Arabidopsis thaliana: one gene and its partners. The protein of the gene in region 1 interacts with the protein of each later gene in a pairwise test. Each region holds a gene or a part of one and is shown in the gene's direction. Other genes may lie near its edges. The genes, in order: GRP2B, MYB118 and DDL.

Region 1 (3,492 bases):
CAAAAAAAAAGGTTCTAATTATTGAAGTTATATAGCTAATTTACCAACATAAAAGATTTAGCAACGACTGTAAAAGTGTAAAGTATATGTGTAGAGATACCATCTTTTTCTTCGACAATGACTGTAAAATCTGTTAATTTTTTTGTTTTAGTTTGTCCATATTTCTTAGTTGGAAATTAGAAAAATGGGAAAAACCCACGCTTGCAGTCTATATATTTCAATGGTTGTTTTTCAAAATAAAAATTAGTAGCCGAGTTAGCTAGTATCATTAGTGTGAAAGCAAATGTTAAAAATTAGATATTTTTCTACTATATTTTCTTTTTTAGTTTTTGGTTTGCGATCTACTATTATTCCGAGATGATAATTAAGGTATTAAACCATCTCCATCAATGATTTTTTATTGAAAAACTGTTTAATATAAAAATAAAATATAATCAAAAAGTAAGAGAGAGAGTAAAATTAGTCTCTCAAGTGAAAAACTCTGAAAAACCCATAAGAACACTTGTATATCATCTATTGGTCAAATATTATTTTATTATTAAAATTTAATTATAGAACTAATATTTATTAAAATACTAATATATTTTTTTTTAAAAACCAATAAGGTATCTCACTGATGGAGATGCCTTTAGAACCTACCAATTAAATTTTTACATGTGAGTCATTTAGATGATTCTAAAAGAGTTAGACATCTTTAATATACAATGTCATAATATCAATATGGTTTTCCATTCGCAAGTAAAAAGTTAAACATTATCACACACTTACATGAAACAAACGTTGATTCCATGACCTTCATGTTAGATAAAAACTCGAAGATCCCATAACTAAAACTCCGAATAAAAATGTGTTGTTCGATAAGTTGCGTTGAGGTTCAAATAATAATAAATTAAATAAATATATACAAAATTTTCGTTACTATCGAAACTGTATCACACTTTGCGGTTTTGTCATTATTCAGAGTCAAAACATCTTTACAAACTCTTGGGATTCAAATCATTCATACCTTCATAAATTTAAAAGAGGCACATTTAAAGCTCAATCACTTCTTTAAATATAGGTAGATAGAATCATAATTGATACAGATAAACTTAGTGGCCAAACTACTATTAGTAACCAAACTCATCTTTTCATTGAATTATTTTGGGTAAAACTAAAGATTTCAAAATTGGATACATGTAGTATTTTTTTTGTTTGGAAAGTGTAAATGTGCATTGACAGGTCCCATCGTCATGTCATTTGGACTATGGACGTTACGCTTTTGACCACTCTTTTGAGATTTTGACCAAAATAAATACATACAAAAAAACTTTGGGGCTACTCTGTGAAAATCCACTATTTATTTGTACGAGAGCGTAATAAAATAAAAATAAAAAAAGAAACGGCACGCAGTTTGCGTTCCCAAAAATATGGGACGACTAGTCAAAATATCTGCTTACGTCCGTCAACTTTAATGTTGACTGAACCAGAATAATATTAAATTATTAAATATATAAACTTGTCTTTTTCCCATTGTACCCTTCACTCTGTTAGATCTTTTCGGGAGAAGAAGAAGATAAGCTTTGAATAACTTTCAACTCTTAGATTTGAATCTAACGGCTGAGAAGCCTCCTGCAAAGCATCCCCAACCGTCCAGATCAAAGCGGGCCCATCGCTCCCTTTAGTTTCCCGAAAAGGAAAAAATAATACAATCTCGAACATTAGCCTGGCCCATTTTTGTAATTATATTATTTCCTTTTTAGTTTTACTATTCAAACAAATTCGTATTTCATTAAGTAAAATTTCTAATTGTACTGGAAAAAGTCAAGGAATTATGCAGAAAAATAGAAATAGCCAATTTATAAGATGGAAAATACGTATTAAAAATGGGAATATGAAAGAAAAAAGAGTAGAGAATATTGGAATAAAAAGTAAATAGTGACGTGGCGGGATACCCTATGCCTTTACACACATATCTCGCAGATATATAAACAGCGTCTGCTTCACGCCAAAGGAGAGAGAGAGAGATCTGATCGGTGATTTACTTTTAGTTCGTCGGAGAGATTTTGATCAGAATGAGCGGAGGAGGAGACGTGAACATGAGTGGTGGAGACAGACGCAAGGGAACGGTGAAGTGGTTTGATACACAGAAGGGGTTTGGTTTCATCACACCTAGCGACGGTGGTGACGATCTCTTCGTTCACCAGTCTTCCATCAGATCTGAAGGATTTCGTAGCCTCGCAGCTGAGGAATCTGTTGAGTTCGACGTTGAGGTTGACAACTCCGGCCGTCCCAAGGCTATTGAAGTGTCTGGACCCGACGGTGCTCCCGTTCAGGGTAACAGCGGTGGTGGTGGTTCATCTGGTGGACGCGGTGGTTTTGGCGGCGGTGGTGGAAGAGGAGGGGGACGTGGTGGAGGAAGCTACGGAGGAGGTTATGGTGGAAGAGGAAGCGGTGGCCGTGGAGGAGGTGGTGGTGATAATTCTTGCTTTAAGTGCGGTGAACCAGGTCACATGGCGAGAGAATGCTCTCAAGGTGGTGGAGGATACAGCGGAGGCGGGGGTGGTGGAAGGTACGGGTCTGGCGGCGGCGGAGGAGGAGGTGGTGGTGGCTTAAGCTGCTACAGCTGTGGAGAGTCTGGGCACTTTGCAAGGGATTGCACTAGCGGTGGTGCTCGTTGAAGCAAACCAGACTGTGAAGAAGGGGTAAATCAGTCATCGATCCCTCTTCTCCGTGACTTCTATCAAATTATTATCTATCTTTTGTTATTCGACTCTCTTCAATGTTGTTTTCGGAATTTATTAATTAGGACTTGTGGTTGTTATGGTTATGGTTCCTTGTGATTTGAGAAAGAAACTGGATTGGTTTTAATTGCATGTTTATCATAACTTTTGCTCATCTTCTTCCTCTACTTCAAGCCTTCATACAATCTTTTAACCATAACTTCCGAACTAATCCTTGAAATTTGGAAATGATTGTTCTTGATGAAAGATATGGCATTAACTCCTAAAGTTTTTTTTTTTTTTCTTTAATTCCCAAACATGAAATACAATAAAAACAGACCAACCAACTTTAGATGCTAAACAAACACCCAAACACACTACGGGCTTGGTAGATCTAAGAAAAACCCAAATCTCGTCTTTTTCTGATCCGTGGAAAAACGCCAACTTTCGTGGCAGCTAGGGACACTTTTGGGCCGGTACTAAAGATTTGATGCTTAAAATTCAAAGGCCGTGAGTGTGATTGAAGTGAGGATGGCTGATTGGAGGAGGTGAGACCATAACCGGTGGTGGGCATTGGTAGCATTTGGTGAAGAGGCCAAAGGTGTCAATCTGGTGTACAAAATTGATCATACTAGCCCAACCACCGAACCCGAATCCAACAATGAACACCCACACAACTATGAAGGCATTGATCGTGAATGCCCCAGTCCATCGTCCTAGAAACCTTGGTGGCTGCTCCACAGCGTTTTCACGTGCGGCGGATGAGCGGAAGGTGAAGATGTGAGCTAGT
Region 2 (4,848 bases), on another chromosome or scaffold:
CACTATAGCTAGCAACATCATATCCCATTTGCTAAACTAAAACATGTCGTAGTTGGTCACCTTACATTTAACAGCTAAAGTGACTCCACCAAACCACTCAACACACATTTGATCACTAGACCTCGGTAAATCTTTCTAAATTTTAATACACAAAACACAAACACCATTCAAAAAGACATTACATCTAAGATTTGCTCTCTCTTATTGTTTTTTAAGAAAGACTGTTTCAACACCTTAAAACCATTATATGCTCACTAAAGGAGAATTGAGCCTATAATCACCTCTTGACCTAAGATGACTCTTATATTACCCATGTGGTATTTTCTTATTCTGACCATTTGAAAAAGTATTCTCCTTTTCTACACCAGAGGCCTCGCCCTTGTAGAACATCCTTCACATACGGGCGGACTGTGCAACACCGATGCAACAATACAAAAGCCTAATTAACAATAAAGAAGGGGATAAACGTGAAAAAGTTCTCTCCTTTGAAAAAAAAATACGGTGGAAAAGATCTCTGATGGCCACTGACATGATGAATTTTGGTAACGAGGTTACAAATTCCAACTAGTTAAAAACTGTTATTAAAAGAGTTGAACCAATGTAATTTGGTAGCGAGTTTGTTTTTGGTATAAAACTGCACGGGTTCAAATCATATCATCGTTATTGTTATGGTATTTACTATTACCTATAAGGCTTACAAAATTGATTTTTCTATCTAATACTGTTATTTGGTTTCTAAGGTGTACTTCCATGCTTGAATTTTTAAAGTAGAGTAATTTCAAATTTATCTACATGTCTTGAGTTTCTTGTATTGAAAAAATTGACTTTTATTTTTGGAAACCTATGGAATTCTTTAGATATTCTTAAATTTTTATTAAAAAATATTTTCCACCTGAAAGAATTATTGTTTTGCAATATCTTTCAACCGTTTTTCCAAATACTTCAAGATAATTGAGTCATTACTCTTTTAACATTCAATATCATCACATTAAATATTCTTTTATTTTTGGAAATGTCAAATTTATTAATCAACAAAAAAATATATTTTCAAGTGGAAGGGAATAAAAATCAAAACCATAGCGGCATACCCTAAAGATACCCTCAAACTTGTGAAGATATTTTGTAACTCAATTTTTTTTTTCTACTACACAAATCACATATATTATTTAGATAAAGGGTTTTGTGGAACATAAAATTCATCTATGGAATTTTTATTTCTAATAGACGATATGTTGAATATCATTTTAAATTGTTAAAGTTGGAAATATATGATATTTTTTTCTTCTCAACATACATTAATTAATTAAAATTTTCAAAAAACCAAACCAAATTTATAGAGAAATGATATTTATTTTTAAATACTTTAATTTTTTTTAAAGTAACTACCTATTGCTAAAAAGTGAAGATATAAATTAAACTAAATGTGTAGTATCATTAATTTATATATATACTTTTCATCATCTTAGATTTCTTGGTCAATGTTTTAGAGTTGGACCTTGTGGGACCAACTAATTTGTGGACCCTATGCTGATACGAACCATTAGATTGACATTGCAACACCAAAAAGATAATCACACGGCTAGTAGAAATTATAATGCTTACATGTTTTACACTTGTCACAAATATGCCCGAGAATTTTCCGCAACAATACAAACTACCTTATAACGACTTCATGATTATTACATGACAAATTTTAGTGACCAATTTACCCTTGGACTATCATTTTGTTTTTAAAGTAACTTTTTAACTCACCCAAGTTATCAAAGGTTAGATCTTTGCCAACTCATCGCTCTTCACAGTTGTTCTTGTTTATAAAGTCTTAATATTTTACCCTTACCTTTACTTCTCCCTGTTTTTCCTCTTCCTTAAATTCATCTTCAAGCTTGAATTTCATTTCACTAATCAATTACTTTCCTCGTTATCCTTTTTTGCAGTCAAGTTAAATTGCTCTCTTTCAAGACTTGTGTTCTTTAAACCAAAAAAAAAAAAAAAGTATCTGTGTTCATCACCAACTCATTCTTCTTTCAGATCTAGGGTTTCATGCTTCACTCAATTTTTTTTTGTTTAGGTAGTTCCATCTTCTAAACGTTGTATTTTTTTTTTTTTGCCATCATAATCATATGGAGTTCGAGTCAGTGTTCAAAATGCATTATCCGTATCTCGCAGCCGTTATCTACGATGATAGCTCCACTTTAAAAGATTTTCATCCATCTCTTACCGATGATTTTTCTTGTGTACACAATGTGCATCACAAACCATCGATGGTAAACTCTAATCCTGATCTTTTTTTCACAAGAATCTCACATTAAAGATCTCAATCCTATCACTTTACTCAAAATCTTAATATTGTTCCCTATCACTTTGATATGCAGCCTCACACATATGAAATACCATCAAAAGAAACCATTAGGGGCATCACTCCTTCTCCATGCACTGAAGCTTTCGAGGCATGTTTTCATGGCACATCCAACGACCATGTTTTTTTTGGCATGGCCTATACCACCCCACCAACTATTGAACCCAACGTTTCACATGTCTCACATGACAATACTATGTGGGAAAACGATCAAAACCAAGGATTCATCTTTGGAACCGAGTCAACCCTCAATCAAGCCATGGCGGACTCTAATCAATTCAATATGCCAAAACCACTCTTGAGCGCAAACGAAGACACCATCATGAATCGACGTCAAAATAACCAGGTAATGATCAAGACCGAGCAGATCAAGAAGAAGAACAAGAGATTTCAGATGAGGAGGATATGTAAACCCACAAAAAAAGCTAGCATCATCAAAGGACAATGGACTCCTGAAGAAGACAAGTAAATTCAACATCTAATTTTTTGGAATTCTCATAAATAATTTTCTTAATCTAGTATGATATTGTTTTTAATATTAATATTTTCTAATGATTCTACCTATATTTAGGTTATTGGTGCAGCTAGTGGACCTTCACGGAACTAAAAAATGGTCTCAGATTGCTAAGATGCTTCAAGGACGAGTTGGAAAACAGTGCAGAGAAAGGTGGCATAACCATCTCCGTCCCGATATCAAGGTCTCTTATTTTATTTTATTTTCATTTTCTTATTTTCATAGGAGAAACAAAAACAAAATATCATCTTCGATACTTTCAAATTCATTACATGATACATTGAGAATCTTCTAAGAGAATATTAACAAACTTTTTTCACACTTGTCAACATGTATACGGTTTTATTTCATGCATGAATACTTTAAACTTTTGTTTGTATATACATATATGTCTATGACAATTCTTTAAGGCATTTTGTCTTCTTGTTGCGGACAAAACTTCACAATTGGTAAGACATTTAAACTAAAGTCATTGTCACTTGGATTCTCTCATATAATTCAACAAACATAAAAGAGAAAAAAACATATAAAAAATAAAAATATTTGTTTAATATTGTATGTATTATTTACATATAAAGCATATTTTATGTGGTATGTTACAGAAAGATGGATGGACTGAAGAAGAGGATATAATACTGATAAAAGCCCATAAGGAGATTGGGAACAGATGGGCTGAGATAGCTCGAAAACTCCCGGGACGCACTGAAAATACGATCAAGAACCATTGGAACGCGACTAAACGTCGACAACACTCGAGGAGGACTAAAGGAAAAGATGAAATTTCCCTTTCACTTGGTAGCAACACTCTTCAGAACTACATTAGGTCTGTTACCTACAATGATGATCCTTTCATGACCGCAAATGCAAACGCAAACATTGGTCCAAGAAACATGAGAGGTAAAGGTAAGAATGTAATGGTTGCGGTCTCGGAGTATGATGAGGGTGAATGTAAGTATATTGTGGATGGTGTGAATAACTTGGGTTTAGAAGATGGAAGGATCAAGATGCCGTCATTGGCGGCTATGTCGGCCTCCGGATCAGCGTCTACTTCTGGTTCTGCGTCTGGTTCTGGAAGTGGTGTGACCATGGAGATTGATGAGCCGATGACTGATAGCTGGATGGTGATGCATGGATGTGATGAAGTTATGATGAACGAGATTGCTTTGCTGGAGATGATTGCTCATGGTCGTCTTTAGACCGTGCAATATAAACAAGTCGAACTTGATTATATCTACCTATATAATTATGCTATTTATGAAATTATGTTTGTGCTTTTAATTGAAGAATTGGACATGTAATATATATTGTGGTTTAATTGAAGGTTTCTTTTGGACTAAACAAAAATTGAAGGTTTTCTTGCTTTATCAGATTTTTTTTTTGTTATTCTCTAATTTCATTTTAATTAAGAATCTATATATATTGTTAAATTTTCTGTTATACTATATGAATGGTAATTGCGTTTGCGGTTAGGAGAAGACGACCATTAGGTCCACAACAAGTACATTTAGTCACTAAAGAATAATTTTATATCGACTATGCTAAAGAAAAAAAGTACTAGTTGTTTACAAAATATCTGGTTAGTATGATGTAATATGGGATAATATGTGTATGGTCCGTTGTATTGTAATTTTCTGGAATTTGTTACCTTACCGTCATAATGACTATATGGTCCGTCGTATTGTAATACCAGAAATTTTAGGCAAAACACAAACAAAAAAAAACGTAATGAGAGTTTTGTATACATTATATTTTGGTTTTCCATTTGTTTTGTATATCACCATTCGAAAAGTCATACATAACTAAAAGAAAAATACATAAAACTTTTGGGATCTATATTCATTAATGATATTTTGACTAACTACATAGAAAATTGAGATCTTAACCAAATACAATAAACCATTACTTCTTATTCTTTTTGTGCAATTCCTCCAACAAAAAAAGAAAAAAAACTTAACAATTTTAGTCTTAACTACAAATA
Region 3 (6,173 bases), on another chromosome or scaffold:
TAGTTTGATATTATAATAGAGAGATGTGAGAAGCTATTAAAATGGTTCTTAGATTTTTATTTGCCTAATTCTCTCAAATGTGACCTCTATATAGTGGGGGAGGCAGAGGTCAGGAATGTTGTAGGTTTGGCACGATTTTGGCCCTTTGTTCTTATTATTGTTTAAGTATTTACTTGTTATAATATTATTTTGTTGGTTTTAATATTCTAAATGGCAGTTGAACAGTTTGATTTCTTTATGTACGTGCAAGAACAAATAAAGATATACAAGAGAAGTGGATCACCTTCTTGTTGTAGTGGAGATTATAAATGTACACATCAACTTGAGATTTGCTAAATTGTAATCTTTTTAGTTAGCACACAATATATAACATAACAACATAAAGTACTTTTGATGGGTGAACCTAAATGTATTTTGGTAGTTTTCCAATAAAAGTGTTAATTTAGATAAAAACATTTGCCTAATGATACATTTGCCTGATGATAATCACAAATTCACAGAAACAGTAGATAAGGATCAAATTTTATATTGTCCATTAATGAAAATAATTTCGATAGAAGCTGAAACAAGATATATTAATTTCATTTTAGCTTATATTCTCCGTTATCTAGCGTTTGATGTAACATTTATAAGTATATATCTGTATTAAGTACAAGAATTTGTTGAGGAAGGAAAAAGTGTTCTTACAAACAAAAATATAAATTTGTCAATGATGGAGACATGTAATTCGTGGGGAACTGCTACTAAGTGTTTAACGATAATATATATGGTTTATAACGTGACAAGGTGATGATAGTCAATTCATCTATTTGAAAATCCTTCAACAAAAAAACAGAAAACGTGATGAAGGCAACATTAGGCTAACACCACAAATAGCTAATTGATATATAAATATAGTCGGTCCACGTTCTCGAACCTTTATAGTCCGGCAGGATAATTATTTTACTATTGTCTAGCTTACAAAACATGTACGACATATTGCACTTTTAGATTGTGAGATACGAATTGTGTGAATTTGTAAAGTTAGTACCGAATCTTTGATGGTTGTTATAATAATTTGCCTCTTTTTCATCAGCAATCTATGACGTAAGAGGCTACGTATGTTCGCTTAAAATTTGACCTAATTTGGACTTTGTCATAGTGAAACCGTATGACAATAACGAAGAAGGTGACGGTGACCGATTCTGATATATGTGACAGTCTAGCCAGTATTTTGCAAAACATAAGATACTAATGAAGTGCATGATGCATGACCGATATTTGAATTAGATATACAAGCCGGCTGGTAGATCATTAGACAACATTTGTTTGTGTGTCTATGATGCGAAAAAAATAAATATTCTCAATCTTTGACAAAAAATATAATAATGACAAAGTACATATCGTTTTGTTCATACGTAAACAAGAATTAGTTTTTAATCGTCTATAATATTGGCGTACACTAGTATATACATGAAACTAAAGATACATCAAATAAACAAGGAGACATGATTTGGGATTCGATGAGCCATCACCCGACAAACCAAAGCATCACCCGAGAAACTCATACTGACCCGTCTCTAAAGCTCGAGTCTATGAATGCTGTCTTCCACATAAGCTTCAAGGCCAACAGTTGCGACTACAAATCGGTAGTAAGGAGAACTACAGATGGGATTTCAGGACATATGTTCCTCGAAGTTGAAAATTTCTCTCCACAAGTTCCTTCATGAGAGGATCAAAGTTGGTGGTAAACCTGGTGCACTCTGTTACAATCAGAACAAGATCACTGTCACTTCTGATGGTTTATGTCGTTTAGCTATCCACCTCAACTATATCTATGATCTTGTATTTGTCTTCTATCCTATCAAAGTTGGTGGTAAAGCTGGTGCACTCGATTTGTTACAGGCTCACCGATTTGTTTGATGATCAATTATAAAATCTTTGTTGCAAACTAGGACGAAGAAACAAAAATCTCGAAGGAAGTACAAGGGTACGACGTTACAAGCGGCTTCTGCCCTAATTATACATATCCTTTCTACCAAACAAGATATGACACGTGTCAACTAATGGAAGTTTTACCATACCGTCTACAATTTGTTTGATATTGAACCCCTCAGTTTCCATTTATTTGCAAAAGAGGCCAAATAAATGATTCTTCTCGTTTTGGCTCTGATTCTTTTTATCTCTGCGATTATTATTATTCACTCTCTCCTCTTCTCTCCGCCGAAGTAGTCACAGTTCCGGCCACCAGGTAAAATTTTTCTTTCTCGTTATGCAGCGATTTTTTCTCTTAACGATTCTTGCAACCCTAGACTATGCCCGGAACTTCTGAATTTAGTATTTGAAATCTGTAGCTTACGTTTTTTGGTTTAGGGCTTTTGCTCCATTTCTAGTTTCTATGCATTTGGGAATTAGGGTTTACTGTGTTATCTGGAGCTCACATGCCTTTTCCTTCTGACCCTGGTTTCAATTTGTGATCTTTCCAAAGGCAAAGAAGAGAGAAAACGACCCTGACTCCAATAATGGCTCCTAGTTCTAGGTCTCCTTCACCACGTACGAAGAGACTGAGAAGAGCTCGAGGAGAGAAGGAAATTGGGAGAAGTAGAGAGAGAGAAGATGATGGTAGAGAAAGGGAGAAGAGAAACAGTAGGGAAAGGGATAGAGATATAGGAAGAGATAGGGATAGGGAGAGAAAAGGAGAAGGAGAAAGAGATAGGGAAGTTGGGGATAAGAGAAGACGATCAGGGAGAGAGGATACTGAAAAAAGGAGAAGGACAAGAACAGATGATGAGAGATACTCTAGAGGAAGACATGAGAGGTCTACTTCACCGTCAGATAGGAGTCACAGGAGTAGTAGGCGTTCACCTGAAAGAGCTATTGCCTCAAGGCATGATGAGGTATTTCTGCTTCTTTCTTTAGCTTGGATATGTTCTTAATCTCAGAAGTGTTTTTTTTTTTGTTTTGGGTTTTACTTGTGCATATTCGTATTCTGCTTGAAAAGATAAATGTGATTGAAATTGTTTAGCTCTGATGTATGCTAGAAAAGGTTAGCCTCTGCTGCTTGTTTCGTCACATAATAAATAATTGGAATCCTGTAATCTAGCTTATCCATCTCGTGAGTCTATAACTAGAACCTGCAGCCAGCCATTTTTTGCTTACTCTGTTGCTAAAGGACTTAAGAAAGATAGTCTCTTTGTTTCCCTTCAGCATGTCCAGTAACATCACTTCTCATGTTTCTCTCTTTTTAGTAAAAGCTCATTATATAGATTATGGTTGCTTTCTGCAAATTATCATTTTCTGCGAGCCACAGATTTTTGTTACTTCTTCAGTCATTTTTATCGCCTTTTGTCTTTTCAGGGGTCTAATGCAAGAGGGGGCAGCGAGGAGCCGTGAGTTTTCTTCTTATTAGATTAGCCGTTACAATTTTTCAGTCTTTCTTTTAACCATGTTATGGGTTTTCGTTAACAGAAATGTCGAGGAAGATTCAGTCGCGAGAATGAGAGCAGTTGAAGAGGCTCTGGCAGCGAAGAAAAAGGTATTATATCAAGCCCTATTGATTTTCAATTTCCAATGTCATTTTGAGCTCGCTTAGCTCATCCATGCATAAATGCTAACGCTTCAAATCTAATTTTGATATATCTTGTAGGAAGAACCATCATTTGAGCTATCAGGGAAACTTGCTGAAGAAACTAACAGATACAGAGGTGAAACTTCTGATCCGTCCATTTCATTTAAGAATATCACCTGTTACCATTACCTTGTGCTAGAAACTTTTGCCATAGTGTTTTCATTGCATGTTTGAACTGCGAAACATCTGCCTTTGTTGTCAGGTCATATTTACTTAATTTTGTATGCGTACGTGTCTGTCACTGGGTAAAAGCTTTCTTTGGTCAATATCTAATGAGACTAGAAGCTTCAATATATAAGCATCTGCTATCAGCAGATATCTTTTGACTGCCAATCCGCTTTTGCTCCTAGGAATGGAGACGGTGGTTTCTCGCATTAAATTTCACCATAGGCATGCTTAGCTTCCTTGACTGAGTGAATCCTTTGCAGGTATCACACTCCTCTTCAATGAGCCCCCAGAGGCTAGAAAACCCAGCGAACGATGGAGACTGTATGTTTTTAAGGATGGTGAACCACTGAATGGTGAGTCTTTGACGTCTTCCACATCTCTATCCATCTGTCTAAGTAGTGGTTCATTTGTCTTCTATGTATTTCACTTAACTATCTTACTGTGGTGAACGTCAATTTTTTGTCCACAAAATATGCAGTAAAGCATGTAGTGGCAATGAAAGAGATACTCAAGAAATTTTGATGCACTCTAGCCATGTAAACTTGAAAACTGTGGTCATTGATGGTTTAGTGTCCAGATAACAGCGTGATTACCGATAGTAGCCAAACTATAGCTTGATACTTCTTAGAACTTGTCAATTTTCTTAGAATGAATCTTATTATGAATGTTAATGACTCTTAGAGGAAAAATAGCTCCTTTGATCTGATATGTTTGTGACTGTGGCTTCCCGTGTCATTCTTACTTTGAACCCCTGAACATTGTATATAAGATTTTACATTTTGTTTCCCATTTCTGTTTGCTTAATAATTCTGAATGCCCTGAATCAGTTTTCTTGATGTATGTTTCTGTGCATGTGAAATGTGTTGGACTAACAGAGCCACTCTGCCTTCACCGCCAAAGCTGCTACCTCTTTGGACGTGAAAGAAGGATTGCCGACATTCCTACGGATCACCCATCTTGCAGCAAGCAGCATGCTGTCATTCAGTACCGGTAGGGTTCTGACATGTATTTCTCCTTTTAAGTAGTAATATCTATGACAATAGATTTAATGAGAATAAGGTTTTTAGTTTAATATTTATGTCACTGTGAATGTGCTTTTCTCAGGGAAATGGAAAAGGAGAAACCAGATGGTATGATGGGGAAGCAAGTGAAGTAAAACCTATCTGCTCTTTCATTTTGCTTAAAATTTGTACCTCTTCTGGCTTTAAGCTAAATTTTAATTTCCCTTAATGTCACTTTCCAGGCCTTACATAATGGATCTTGGTAGTACCAACAAAACTTATATCAATGTAAGTGCTCAATTACATTCCTTCTTATGTGCTTCTTTATCATGGTTAATTCAAACGTTTGTGATTAGAACTTCTTTTACTTTTTCAGGAAAGTCCCATTGAGCCACAAAGATATTATGAGCTTTTTGAGAAAGACACCATAAAGTTTGGCAACAGCAGGTATTCTAATGAAGACACATTCTAGTTCTGGTTTCCCATTATGAATCATACCCCGTGCCTATTCTCTGTGATTAATCTTTGCTTGCTGTGCAGTTAACATCTACTTTCTTCTGTTCTTGACATGTTTTGTTCTTTTGGTTGCAGCCGAGAGTACGTACTGTTGCACGAGAATTCTGCCGAGTGAATGAAATCAGAGTCAAGCAGAAACGAGTAAATCACAAGATTAGATAGTTGCGTTTCTCAGGGTTTTTAGAGATGTTTGAGCTGCTTCATGTATGCTTTCTACCGTGCTGGTGATAATCTCAGACATCATTTAGAAATCTTTTGCTTGCTTGTTATATAATAAATGATGATGAACGATTGGTAAGAGAAAAAGGTTAACTTTTGGTATAACTGTATAAGATCAATCTCTACTTTAAAATTGTCGCTCCCTGAGGGTTTCGACCTAACTTAACGTAGAAACATGGAGACGACTGAGATTTCAACTAGAGTTACCAAAACGGACATCACTTTCTTAGTAAGATAAAGCTAACTCTGCGATTGAAAACTACTTATTTGTCAAGCCTTTAGTGAGGGATTCAAGGATCAAGTCACGGATCTCCTCCCTGCTTGCTCAGTCAAGAGTGGTTCTGCCGTCAGCATCCTTAACCGTGTAGTCAGCGTTTGAGAAGCTCTTCAATTTTAGGCTTGTCTCCCTCCGAGACTGCTAGCATTAAAAGGATGTCGACATGGTGCATCTTATCTTAGGTACCTTCCACCGCAAGTATCCCCATGTAGTTAAAATACTGCAAATAACACAGAAACGACAATAATAAATCTAACATTTCCTCTGTTTTCTTCATTCACAAACTCAGACACAACCACGTACGGAAGCTTTTATAAGCGCCCTTGTAACAAAACAAAGATTGACATATTTGACTCTAGAAGCTTGAAGTGAACACGAACCTGTT

What was found.
Region 2: the proteins of GRP2B (region 1) and MYB118 interact in a two-hybrid assay, tested with the Arabidopsis thaliana proteins (one large-scale study listed by BioGRID).
Region 3: the proteins of GRP2B (region 1) and DDL interact in a two-hybrid assay, tested with the Arabidopsis thaliana proteins (one large-scale study listed by BioGRID).

Annotation. Positions count from the first base shown.
Region 1 is NC_003071.7:9,036,151-9,039,642, reverse strand, and holds GRP2B (glycine-rich protein 2B), read left to right. Parts: upstream 1-1,860; 5' UTR 1,861-2,054; coding exon 2,055-2,660; 3' UTR 2,661-2,877; downstream 2,878-3,492. Other genes in the region: LAX2 (uncharacterized protein), read right to left, coding at 3,204-3,492. UniProt on the Arabidopsis thaliana protein: Chaperone that binds to and unwinds RNA and both single-stranded DNA and double-stranded DNA (ssDNA and dsDNA DNA).
Region 2 is NC_003074.8:10,287,985-10,292,832, reverse strand, and holds MYB118 (myb domain protein 118), read left to right. Parts: upstream 1-1,898; 5' UTR 1,899-2,120; coding exon 2,121-2,264; intron 2,265-2,372; coding exon 2,373-2,821; intron 2,822-2,927; coding exon 2,928-3,054; intron 3,055-3,472; coding exon 3,473-4,066; 3' UTR 4,067-4,230; downstream 4,231-4,848. UniProt on the Arabidopsis thaliana protein: Transcription activator that recognizes the motif 5'-TAACGG-3' in the promoter of endosperm-induced genes.
Region 3 is NC_003074.8:7,173,929-7,180,101, reverse strand, and holds DDL (SMAD/FHA domain-containing protein), read left to right. Parts: upstream 1-2,081; 5' UTR 2,082-2,230; intron 2,231-2,467; 5' UTR 2,468-2,501; coding exon 2,502-2,876; intron 2,877-3,336; coding exon 3,337-3,368; intron 3,369-3,447; coding exon 3,448-3,514; intron 3,515-3,625; coding exon 3,626-3,683; intron 3,684-4,035; coding exon 4,036-4,128; intron 4,129-4,650; coding exon 4,651-4,765; intron 4,766-4,879; coding exon 4,880-4,927; intron 4,928-5,018; coding exon 5,019-5,064; intron 5,065-5,152; coding exon 5,153-5,223; intron 5,224-5,367; coding exon 5,368-5,407; 3' UTR 5,408-5,666; downstream 5,667-6,173. Other genes in the region: AT3G20555 (uncharacterized protein), read left to right, coding at 1,488-1,628, 1,711-1,902. UniProt on the Arabidopsis thaliana protein: Involved in the microRNA (miRNA) and short interfering RNA (siRNA) biogenesis. May facilitate DCL1 to access or recognize primary miRNAs. Binds RNA non-specifically.